Xenopus tropicalis: one gene and its partners. The protein of the gene in region 1 interacts with the protein of each later gene in a biochemical or structural test. Links are inferred from orthologs where the notes say so. Each region holds a gene or a part of one and is shown on either strand. Other genes may lie near its edges.

What was found. The genes of interacting proteins can lie anywhere in the genome.
Region 2: the proteins of srf (region 1) and elk1 form a complex in vitro, tested with the Homo sapiens proteins (2 studies listed by BioGRID). The link is inferred for Xenopus tropicalis from reciprocal best matches to the Homo sapiens genes SRF and ELK1.
Region 3: the proteins of srf (region 1) and myog form a complex in vitro, tested with the Homo sapiens proteins (2 studies listed by BioGRID and IntAct). The link is inferred for Xenopus tropicalis from reciprocal best matches to the Homo sapiens genes SRF and MYOG.

What each region holds. Positions count from the first base shown.
Region 1 is NC_030681.2:1,168,576-1,172,754, forward strand, and holds the start of srf (serum response factor), read right to left. Parts: upstream 2,857-4,179; 5' UTR 1,824-2,856; exon of another isoform or gene 1,744-1,823; 5' UTR 1,510-1,743; coding exon 1,132-1,509; intron 1-1,131. UniProt on the Homo sapiens protein: SRF is a transcription factor that binds to the serum response element (SRE), a short sequence of dyad symmetry located 300 bp to the 5' of the site of transcription initiation of some genes (such as FOS).
Region 2 is NC_030684.2:1,344,539-1,348,600, forward strand, and holds the start of elk1 (ETS domain-containing protein Elk-1), read left to right. Parts: upstream 1-1,247; 5' UTR 1,248-1,385; coding exon 1,386-1,821; intron 1,822-1,835; exon of another isoform or gene 1,836-2,056; coding exon of another isoform or gene 2,057-2,069; intron 2,070-2,216; coding exon 2,217-2,425; intron 2,426-4,062. UniProt on the Homo sapiens protein: Transcription factor that binds to purine-rich DNA sequences. Forms a ternary complex with SRF and the ETS and SRF motifs of the serum response element (SRE) on the promoter region of immediate early genes such as FOS and IER2.
Region 3 is NC_030678.2:54,934,970-54,939,224, reverse strand, and holds the start of myog (myogenin), read right to left. Parts: upstream 2,816-4,255; 5' UTR 2,780-2,815; coding exon 2,273-2,779; intron 1-2,272. UniProt on the Homo sapiens protein: Acts as a transcriptional activator that promotes transcription of muscle-specific target genes and plays a role in muscle differentiation, cell cycle exit and muscle atrophy.

The DNA.
Region 1 (4,179 bases):
CTATCCCATTCCCATCAGTCCCTGCCCCAGTGAGCTTACAATCTAAGGCCCCTATCCCATTCCCATCAGCCCCTGCCCCAGTGAGCTTACAATCTAAGGTCCCTATCACATTCCCATCAGTCCCTGCCCCAGTGAGCATACAATCTAAGGTCCCTATCCCATTCCCATCAGTCCCTGCCCCAGTGAGCTTACAATCTAAGGTCCCTATCCCATTCCCATCAGTCCCCTGCCCCAGTGAGCTTACAATCTAAGGTCCCTATCCCATTCCCATCAGTCCCTGCCCCAGTGAGCATACAATCTAAGGTCCCTATCCCATTCCCATCAGTCCCTGCCCCAGTGAGCTTACAATCTAAGGTCCCTATCCCATTCCCATCAGTCCCTGCCCCAGTGAGCTTACAATCTAAGGTCCCTATCACATTCCCATCAGTCCCTGCCCCAGTGAGCTTACAATCTAAGGTCCCTATCCCATTCCCATCAGTCCCTGCCCCAGTGAGCTTACAATCTAAGGTCCCTATCCCATTCCCCTCAGTCCCTGCCCCAGTGAGCTTACAATCTAAGGCCCCTATCCCATTTCCCTCAGTCCCTGCCCCAGTGAGCTTACAATCTAAGGCCCCTATCCCATTCCCATCAGTCCCTGCCCCAGTGAGCTTACAATCTAAGGCCCCTATCCCATTCCCATCAGCCCCTGCCCCAGTGAGCTTACAATCTAAGGTCCCTATCACATTCCCATCAGTCCCTGCCCCAGTGAGCATACAATCTAAGGTCCCTATCCCATTCCCATCAGTCCCTGCCCCAGTGAGCTTACAATCTAAGGTCCCTATCCCATTCCCATCAGTCCCTGCCCCAGTGAGCTTACAATCTAAGGTCCCTATCACATTCCCATCAGTCCCTGCCCCAGTGAGCTTACAATCTAAGGTCCCTATCCCATTCCCATCAGTCCCTGCCCCAGTGAGCTTACAATCTAAGGTCCCTATCCCATTCCCATCAGTCCCTGCCCCAGTGAGCTAACAATCTAAGGTCCCTATCCCATTCCCATCAGCCCCTGCCCCAGTGAGCTAACAATCTAAGTTCCCTATGCCCGATATACCCTAGCTGTTTGTACTTTTGCCCCAGATGCCCCGGGGTACTTACCTTCTTCATGATGCCAGTTTTGCGCTTGCTGAAGGTCGTGTAGCGCCGCAGTTTGTTATCGATGAATTCCATCTTAATCTTCACTCGGCCGCGGGTTTTCTTGCCAGGTTTTGCCCCTGACACCGTGCCACTGGCCCCCGGGTACCCCACACCGCCGGCTGCACCCCCTTGTTCCGGCAGCTCAAGCTCGTTGAGCCCCCGCTTTAACCCCCGCCCAGGAGGATCCTCCTCTTCCCCCGAGTCTGAGCTCCCAGAGCTGCCGCTGTATTGGACCCCGGGGCCCCTAACCCCTGGGCAACCAGCCCCATTGCCTGCCCTGCGGGCCAACCCCAGCCCCCGGCCTGACCCCACCACCCCGGCCTGGCTACTGGGCAACATCCCTAGGGGGCATGGGGGGGTGCCCCACTCTTATACCACTTCCTGGGATAAAACCTACTAATCTGCCCTTCCTTGGGGCAAAACCCGCCTATAATAGGTATAACTAACCTACCCTCCTGGGGTAATGCCTACTAGCAATCTGCCCGGGGTACAAACTTAAATGCCCCACCTGAGCTCCTCAGTGCCCCTTGCCTGGGCAAAGCAAACACTGCTCCCTGGGGCTAATACGGATACCTGCCCCCCCGGACTCTCTCCCTGGGGCTAATACGGATACCTGCCCCCCCGGACTCTCTCCCTGGGGCTAATACGGATACCTGCCCCCCCCGGACTCTCTCCCTGGGGCTAATACGGATACCTGCCCCCCCGGACTCTCTCCCTGGGGCTAATACGGATACCTGCCCCCCCGGACTCTCTCCCTGGGGCTAATACGGATACCTGCCCCCCCCGGACTCTCTCCCTGGGGCTAATACGGATACCTGCCCCCCCCGGACTCTCTCCCTGGGGCTAATACGGATACCTGCCCCCCCGGACTCTCTCCCTGGGGCAAATACGGATACCTGCCCTCCCCGGACTCTCTCCCTGGGGCTAATACGGATACCTGCCCCCCCGGACTCTCTCCCTGGGGCAAATACGGATACCTGCCCCCCCGGACTCTCTCCCTGGGGCTAATACGGATACCTGCCCCCCCGGACTCTCTCCCTGGGGCTAATACGGATACCTGCCCCCCCGGACTCTCTCCCTGGGGCAAATACGGATACCTGCCCCCCCGGACTCTGTCCCTGGGGCTAATACGGATACCTGCCCCCCCGGACTCTCTCCCTGGGGCTAATACGGATACCTGCCCCCCCGGACTCTCTCCCTGGGGCTAATACGGATACCTGCCCCCCCGGACTCTCTCCCTGGGGCTAATACGGATACCTGCCCCCCCGTCTCTCTCCCTGGGGCTAATACGGATACCTGCCCCCCCGGACTCTCTCCCTGGGGCTAATACGGATACCTGCCCCCCCGGACTCTCTCCCTGGGGCTAATACGGATACCTGCCCCCCCGGACTCTCTCCCTGGGGCTAATACGGATACCTGCCCCCCCGGACTCTCTCGCTGTCGGACTGTTGGTTCCGGCCCGGGCCGCACTCCCTCTCCCTGACCGGCCTGTCTGGCTGTGGCTTCCCCGCTCTCCCTGCTCCAACCAATCACATCCCGAGCCGCATCACACTCACACACTCGGTTCCCACCGCCAGAGCGTGTAAATGAGATCCTTGCGCGCCCCTTGCCGGAACTAATTCCCATTAAATATGGTTTGGGCGGAAGGGTACATGAGCCGGAGTGGCGCTGAGGGACTATTTTCTCCCTTATAAAGCGTTACAATGTTTCCTTTTATGGAAAAGCCTCTCCTTATATGGTGAGTCACCGCGCTTCGCTCCCATTGGCCCGGGGCCCGGACACAGCGCTTCCCTGATTGGGTGGAAGGGGGAAAGCGAGGCGGGGCCTGTTACGTCCATTTAGAGCGAACCCGAGTCACGTGGGAGGTTAGAGATCAGCTGTTCCCTCAGTAGGTACCGCCCCCTGATGTGTCCGAACAGCTGAGCGCAGGGGCTTGTGGGAAAGTGTCCGGGCCCTGGGGTCTCCTCCCCTTTACTATCTGGCGCATAGAGCATTATGGGTAATGTAGTAGCATTATGGGTAATGTAGTAGCATTATGGGTAATGTAGTAGCATTATGGGTAATGTAGTAGCATTATGGGTAATGTAGTGCGTCTGAACTTCCCTTTCCCCAGTGAGTCCGCTGTAACCCCTTATAGATACTGGGGCCCCTCTCTCCCCTTATAGATACTGGGGCCCCTCTCTCCCCTTATAGATACTGGGGCCCCTCTCTCCCCTTATAGATACTGGGGCCCCTCTCTCCCCTTATAGATACTGGGGCCCCTCTCTCCCCTTATAGATACTGGGGCCCCTCTCTCCCCTTATAGATACTGGGGCCCCTCTCTCCCCTTATAGATACTGGGGCCCCTCTCTCCCCTTATAGATACTGGGGCCCCTCTCCCCTTATAGATACTGGGGCCCCTCTCCCCCCTTATAGATACTGGGGCCCCTCTCTCCCCTTATAGATACTGGGGCCCCTCTCTCCCCTTATAGATACTGGGGCCCCTCTCCCCTTATAGATACTGGGGCCCCTCTCCCCCCTTATAGATACTGGGGCCCCTCTCTCCCCTTATAGATACTGGGGCCCCTCTCCCCCCTTATAGATACTGGGGCCCCTCTCCCCCCTTATAGATACTGGCGCTCCTCTCCCCCCTTATAGATACTGGGGCCCCTCTCCCCCCTTATAGATACTGGGGCCCCTCTCTCCCCTTATAGATACTGGGGCCCCTCTCTCCCCTTATAGATACTGGGGCCCCTCTCCCCTTATAGATACTGGGGCCCCTCTCCCCCCTTATAGATACTGGGGCCCCTCTCTCCCCTTATAGATACTGGGGCCCCTCTCTCCCCTTATAGATACTGGGCCCCTCACGCGCAGCCCTTAGTTACTGGGCCCCTCACGCGCAGCCCTTAGTTACTGGGCCCCTCACGCGCAGCCCTTAGTTGCTGGGCCCCTCACGCGCAGCCCTTAGTTGCTGGGCCCCTCACGCGCAGCCCTTAGTTACTGGGCCCCTCACGCGCAGCCCTTAGTTAC
Region 2 (4,062 bases), on another chromosome or scaffold:
GGAGGAAAGGAGATCTCACCATCAGCATAGGAAGGGGTTCCTTACTGTAAGGGCAGTCAGGTTATGGGGTTCCCTACCCAGAGAGGGGGAATGAGTGATACATTGGGGTGGGGAGGAAAGGGGATCTCACCATCAGCATAGGAAGGGGTTCCTTACTGTAAGGGCAGTCAGGTTATGGGATTCCCTACCAAGAGAGGGGGAATGAGTGATACATTGGGGGTGGGGAGGAAAGGGGATCTCACCATCAGCATAGGAAGGGGTTCCTTACTGTAAGGACAGTCAGGTTATGGGATTCCCTACCCAGAGAGGGGGAATGAGTGATACATTGGGGGTGGGGAGGAAAGGAGATCTCACCATCAGCATAGGAAGGGGTTCCTTACTGTAAGGGCAGTCAGGTTATGGGGTTCCCTACCCAGAGAGGGGGAATGAGTGATACATTGGGGTGGGGAGGAAAGGGGATCTCACCATCAGCATAGGAAGGGGTTCCTTACTGTAAGGGCAGTCAGGTTATGGGGTTCCCTACCCAGAGAGGGGGAATGAGTGATACATTGGGGGTGGGGAGGAAAGGAGATCTCACCATCAGCATAGGAAGGGGTTCCTTACTGTAAGGGCAGTCAGGTTATGGGGTTCCCTACCCAGAGAGGGGGAATGAGTGATACATTGGGGTGGGGAGGAAAGGGGATCTCACCATCAGCATAGGAAGGGGTTCCTTACTGTAAGGGCAGTCAGGTTATGGGGTTCCCTACCCAGAGAGGGGGAATGAGTGATACATTGGGGGTGGGGAGGAAAGGGGATCTCACCATCAGCATAGGAAGGGGTTCCTTACTGTAAGGGCAGTCAGGTTATGGGGTTCCCTACCCAGAGAGGGGGAATGAGTGATACATTGGGGGTGGGGAGGAAAGGGGATCTCACCATCAGCATAGGAAGGGGCTGAATGCCTGGGGGCAGGCATATAGTTCTATTTATGAGCCCACACTGACCCCGGGAGCTATCAGTTTGCAGCACAGGGGGGCTCAGGCATGGGAGGAGTTAATTGCTGTGCGGCTCTGGCAGACAAAGGGTTAAGGGGAGCTGTGCTGTACAGGTTGCTGCTCCAGTCTGTTAGTTGCCATGGCAACAGAGCCTTGAGATGGCAAGTAACGAGGTACAGGCTAAACATTCCCCCATCTGAACCAATCCTTGTTCTAAATGTGGATGCCCCTCCTCCCCTCTGATTATTTGCCCCCCCCCCCCCCCAGACTCTCTGCCCCATGGCTGTGACTCGGGGTAAATACTGATAATCTCCCCACAAAACCTCTGTGAGGGCTGCTGGGAGTTGTAGTTGCACAACGTGCCGGGGGAATGGCTGTAGTTACTCCCTAGTCTGTGTGGGACCCATTAGCCCTATGTGCCCCCCCCCCCCCCATGGGGCTGAATTGCTGCACCCAGTGCTGGGGGGTAGGAGGCTCCTGTGTGTGCCCCTCGGTGGCGCTGTGCCACCCACTCTCCCCGTATGGGTGGCGCCTCCCCCTTCCCCAGGCTCCTCCCCTTCTCCTGACGTGCAGCCAGGATTCTCTCCCTGCCAGTGGAGCAGCGGAGGCAGCAGTGGAGCAGGAGGGAGAGGAGCAGGAGGGCTGCACAGACACAGGGGGGCAACACATGGGGGCCCGGCCCTCTCTTGTCTCCTAGTGCCCTGCCCACCCTCCCTGCCATGCCCAGGGCTGGCACAGTGTCCTTGGGTGCCCTCAGGGGGGCCAGAGCTGCCTGCGGCTGGGAGAGCGTCCCCTGAGAGACAGTCAGGTAACCAGGAGGGGAGGGCGCTCTCGTCGCTCAGGTCTCCAGGTGAGAGGGGGGGGACAATGTGGGGAGGGGGGGCATCTGGGGGGGGTTGTTGTGCTGTGAATTCATTCGCTGCTGTCTCTTGTCCCCCTGTCCCTCCCACTCTGTCGCTCCTCTCTGCCATGGCCGTGTCCGCTTCTCCACAACATCATCTTGTAAACAGCGTGAGTGCGGGGGAGAGCGAGGAGCGGTGGGGGAGAGTGCTGAGCAGTGAGAGAGAGGCCGGGCATGGAACACAATGAGAGAGTCAGGTGAGCACCAATAACTACCCTAGGGCCACTGTCTGTCCCCCCCGCTGCTGCTATTGCCCCCTCATCTCCCCCTGTGTGTCGCCCCCGTCTCCCATTGCCCCACGCCTCTCTCTGCCCAAGTGCCTGACTGTCTCTTTGCTCCCGCAGTCATGGACCCCTCTGGGACCCTCTGGCAGTTCCTCCTGCAGTTGCTGGAAGAGCAGAGCCACCGGCACCTCATCTCCTGGACCTCCAACGACGGGGAATTCAAGCTCCTGGATGCGGAGGAGGTGGCGCGACTGTGGGGGCTGCGAAAGAACAAGACCAACATGAACTACGATAAACTCAGCCGCGCTCTCCGGTATTACTATGACAAGGTGAGCTGCGCTCTCACTTATTAACATCACCAGGTGAGCCGCGCTCTCACTTATTAACATCACCAGGTCAGCTGCGCTCTCACTTATTACTATCACCAGGTGAGCCCCACTCTCACTTATTAACATCACCAGGTGAGCCGCGCTCTCACTTATTAACATCACCAGGTCAGCCGCGCTCTCACTTATTACTATCACCAGGTGAGCCGCGCTCTCACTTATTAACATCACCAGGTCAGCCGCGCTCTCACTTATTACTATCACCAGGTCAGCCGCGCTCTCACTTATTAACATCACCAGGTCAGCCGCGCTCTCACTTATTAACATCACCAGGTGAGCTGCGCTCTCACTTATTAACATCACCAGGTGAGCCCCACTCTCACTTATTAACATCACCAGGTGAGCTGCGCTCTCACTTATTAACATCACCAGGTGAGCTGCGCTCTCACTTATTAACATCACCAGGTGAGCTGCGCTCTCACTTATTAACATCACCAGGTGAGCCGCGCTCTCACTTATTAACATCACCAGGTGAGCCGCGCTCTCACTTATTAACATCACCAGGTGAGCCGCGCTCTCACTTATTAACATCACTAGGTGAGTCTCGCTCTCACTTATTACTATCACCAGGTGAGCCGCACTCTCACTTATTACTATCACCAGGTGAGCCCCACTCTCACTTAATACTATCACCAGGTGAGCCTCACTCGCACTTATTACTATCACCAGGTGAACCCTACTCTCACTTTTTACAGTATGGCCAGGAGAGTACTGGTATGGTTGTGAGGGTAGCAGTATGGCCAGGAGAGTACTAGTATGGCCATGAGGGTAACAGTATGGCCAGGAAAGTACTAGTATGGCTGTAAGAGTAACAGTATGTCCAGGAGAGTACTAGTATGGCTGTGAGGGTAACAGTATGGCTAGGAGAGTACTAGTATGAGAGCGTTGGGCAGTGTGCAAGTACCACAAGAGTATTTGGTACCATGAGAGTATTTGGTACCACAAGAATATTTGATACCATGAGAGTATTTGATACCATGAGAGTAGTGAATGTATTTGGTACCTAAAGAGTATTTGATACCATGAGAATATTTGATACCTTAAGAGTGTTTGATACCATGAGAGTATTTGGTACAATGAGAGTAGTGAGAGTATTTGGTACCATGAGAGTGTTTGGTACCACAAGAGTAGTGAGAGTATTTGGTACCATGAGAGTAGTGACAGTATTTGGTACCACAAGAGTATTTGGTACCGTGAGAGTATGTGGTATCATGAGAGTATTTGGTATGATAAGAGTATTTGGTACCATGAGAGTATTTGGTACCACAAGAGTATTTGGTACCATGAGAGTAGTGAGAGTATTTGGTACCACAAGAGTATTTGGTACCATAAGATTATTTGGTACCGTAAGAGTATTTGGTACCATGAGAGTAGTGAGAGTATTTGGTGCCATTAGAGTATTTGATATTATAAGTGTATTTGGTATTGTAAGAGTATTTGATACCATGAGTATTTGGTACCGTGAGAGTATTTGGTACCATGAGAGTATTTGGTACCACAAGAGTATTTGATACCATGAGAGTATTTGGTACCACAAGAATATACCATAAGAGTATTTGGTACCGTGAGAGTATTTGGTA
Region 3 (4,255 bases), on another chromosome or scaffold:
CAACGTAGCTAATGGGAGCCACAGCTCAGTGTGGTGAAAGTATAAATTGTATAAATGTACTCTCAAGTCAATATTAGCAGTATTGTGAATTTTCCAGGCTTACAATCTTACATCTATATCTAGCAAAGTGGGAGAAAGTTAGCTTCTTCAGCCACTGACAGTAATTATATCTGGATCAATATGATTCTAATGCTTTAGGATCATGCAGTCAGCTGAGCCCTTTATTACTCTCAGATAAAGTTCAGATTTCCCAATATATGGCTTTAGGGCTTGAAAGGAGTTAGCGACCAATACAGACTGTATAGGAGAGATCCATATTCTACTGTTTATTTACAGTGCATTTTATTCACTTTCCGGTCGTTAGTTGCAAGTGCAAGATAGCAATTATACAGGCTGCCTCCTCTACAGCAATGATTTCTAGACTTTAAACTGTGGCCATAATTTTTGCCTCACAGAGACAGCTAAGCTGGCCAGACATAGGCCAATTTTGTGTGCACTAATTGGTCAGCCATTGGCTGAGGTATGAGATAGTAGGAAATTTGCACATGCACATGAATTGCCAAATTGCACAGTTTTGATTAGTTGAAATATGTTGCCTAATATGTACCATTGCACCAACAAATCAATATATCATAGATTTTAAAAACAATACGTGTGTATGTATTTTTAAAGAATAAAAAAAATCATGTTTGCCTAGATGAAAACATTTTGCCAATAATTGAAAGTTCTAAAGACACTGGAATTTATTTAATGCAATCCTGCCAATTATCCATGAAACAAAGTAATTCTACTTATATTTCTATACTTTGTCGAATATATCAATATATCCTTACACTATCTCATGGTGGTATATATATATACACACAGTGGAACTAAGCACATGCATTTGCTTTACTCTAGTCTTACTGAAGACAAAAACCCTATTGAAATTCAGTGATCAAGGTCACAGAAAAGGAATATACAGATTTAGACAGCTGTCCCTGAATTTAAAGACCTTACAACTGGTTTAGACAAGGAATCATAACAAGTATACTAGAAACTGACATACATTAAAGAAACATACTAAAAACATGCATTCTACTATATTATTTCTCTTTATTCTCTGCTCCTTCTCTTAATCCCTACTAAAAAAATCACTATATATGTCTGCTGCAATAACAGTGTGTATTAATTTAACCCCTTTAATATCGTACTTGCTGTATTGTCTAGATAATATTTAAAACAATCATTTTGCCTCTGTAGCTTTGCAAAATTAACACAATGGAGAAATGACTTTTCACATTATGGCTCTGCAACAGCTACAGCGGTAAGTTTATAATACCTTCTATATGGTCAGAAGATATGTCGGTACATTGCAGTTTGTCTGGATTAGTGTAGCTTGATTGTATATGCTTATACTATAGGTTTTGTATCCTCAAACTTGTCAAAGAAGTTGATGATGAAAGATCTGAGCTTTGTCTCTCAATGATATTAAACTTAAATATATTCATTATTATTGTTAATGCTCCATATATTTATCCTCTATATATTATTCTTTGAATGTTTTTTATTTAATTTAATGATTTTTCATTTAATTTAATTATTTTTTATACTGGAGAGTTCTATAAAACTGAGTCAAATGACACAAATGCAGAGGATAAGGTAAGATATATATTTCTTAGCACAACAATGACCTCAATGCCCTTAAATGTCACAATTTTTGTGACTTTGATCTTTTCCTGGTTAAACCTACCTTCTTTTCCACTTTACAAACGTTTTGCTTCTAGCAGGGTTATGTACAGCTCTTTGCCCAACAGGTATTGTATATCATAACTGGACATACCTGCTGTTTCACACAATGTAGGCCCTCTTATCATTTCCATCAACAGCATTATTTCTGCTTATATAATATAAGCCATGTATATTGTCATACAATTATACATGGTGAAATTCTAAACACAGGAAAATTCTTATAATAATAAGTAAAACATTTAAATAGATCTAAAAACTGACCTAATTTCACTTAGCAATAGCTAAGTACCCCCCCCCCTTCATCTTAAAAACCCCTTCCCTAGTGGCTTTATGACACATTGGCTTATTGTAGATCCTGGTTATTACTAGCACATAAATCAGAGAAAATAATGACACTAAAACAGATAGTGTGCTGATTTATGTTCAGTGTAGTGTGGCTCAGAGAAGGTTGTTAGGTGTATATGTGTAGGCATGCCTGTGTAAAACAATTAAGATTCCAGGATGAAGCACATTGATAAACTCTATACAAGATTTTACCTACCACCCGTTGGGATCCATTACTGATGAATAATAAATCTCTCTGGTCCCTCTCCTGCTGGTTAAGGGAAGCCAATAGTGTCTGCAAGCGTTCTATATACTGGATGGCGCTCCTTAAGATTTCAACCTTTGGAAGCCTTTGGTTAGGGTTCAACAGAGTGCTTCTTTTCAGGGCTTCAAATGCCTCGTTAACTTTTTTTAACCTGCGCTTTTCCCGTAAGGTAGCAGCCCTCCTTCTGTCCATGGAAACCGTCTTCCTCTTGCATACCTTGCAGGCCCATGGCAAGCATTGGCCAGGGCAATGTTCTTGTTGGGTTACAGTGGGATGGGGAGAAACCTTGTCTTCAATTCCTGAGCCCTGCAATAAAACCCCATCCGCACATATCCCCACAGTGCCACGATCTTGAAACCCAGTTTGCTCATATGTAGGGAGCCTCGCAGAGAAATAGTTATCATTGTCATAAAACCTTTGGTCTGGAAAGAAATAAGGGCTGGTTTCAAAAAGCTCCATCATACAGGGCTGCCTAGAAGTGTTTCCTTTCGACAACTACACAGCAACTGCTCTTCTACTCTTCACACCAACTGTTTGATGCCATTTAAACCCTCTGCCCAGCATTAAATCACGCAGATAAATATAGAAAACATTCACGAAATCTGATCCACTTTTTAGCTGTTGCCTGACATCAAAACTTTTTTTTACATCTGAAAAAGAAGGGATTCTCCCTGGAGGATTCAGCTAGGGGAAAAAAAAGGACAAAAGAAAAATTCCCCTTTAAAAACCTTTTTAGTATTCAAGTTCATGTAACAGTTATATTATTTATTTATATAGAACACATTCATTTAGACAGAACAATAGGAGTACATATACATGTGTGTATATATATATATATATATATATATATAATGTATATATGCTTATTAATCTGTGTGTATGCTTTTAATTGGATTGTGTGTTTCTGTATATCTCATTACATTAAAAATAATGCTCTAAAATAATGCCCTAAAAATAATGATACCAATACAGGAAAAATAAAACAAAAATAGTATTTTATATTCCCGATGTACTGCCCATTTGAATTTATGCTATAGTGTCATTTTTCCCTTCTGTTTATTGCTGCCTTGCATTCAAGAGTGCCATATACATTCATATGTAATGTCTGGGTTGATAAAGGAGCACTGAGAATATCATATTTATATTTGATTTAGAATGCAGTGGTTAGGTACATCTGATACAGAGAATACAATAGACAAAAGGCTGATTCTTGCGCACAATACAGAATAAAGGCAATAACTGATACAACAATATGGTGATGTATAAAAACCAGTATATGTCAGAGGCGGGTGAATATTTTACCTTTTAAATTTTGTTAATCTCTCTTTCCTTGTGCAATAATTTCCCATGCAGGTGCAAGTTTATTTTGTCATAGTTTACGTGTCCTTTAATTCGCTCTGTTTACTTTATGAGCAATGTCTTGTGCATGTGTTCTACAAGAATGAAAGCTGGCCATACATGGGCCATTTAAAGCTGTCAACTGAGTCAGCAGCTTATTAGCCTGTGCATGGGGCCTGGTTGACCGATATTTGGCTGAAAATCATCCAGATATCAATCAGGCAGGTTTGAAAATTCCATCAACTGTGGACTGCATCAGCATTTTGGTGTGGTCATCATTTGACAGGCTTTCATAGGTCCCAATGCCCCCAGGGCTAATGATCAGCCCAAAATGACCCAGGGGCAAATCAGGCCCAGATCTGCTCATTCTGCAATACTACAGTTATGACAGTGAGGGAAGGAAGAAGTCTATAAGGTACCCATAATAGTTTATTCTGTTATTTCAACATGGGCTGTCCAACTAGAGGCCAGTGGGCTGGATGTTGCACTGTAACTGGCAACTTAGTGTCTTTTAATACATAACCAATATGTGCGTTTTATGCCTTCCAGCGACTCCATGAAATCTAGGAATTCAATGGAGTTTTTGCATAGACAGGA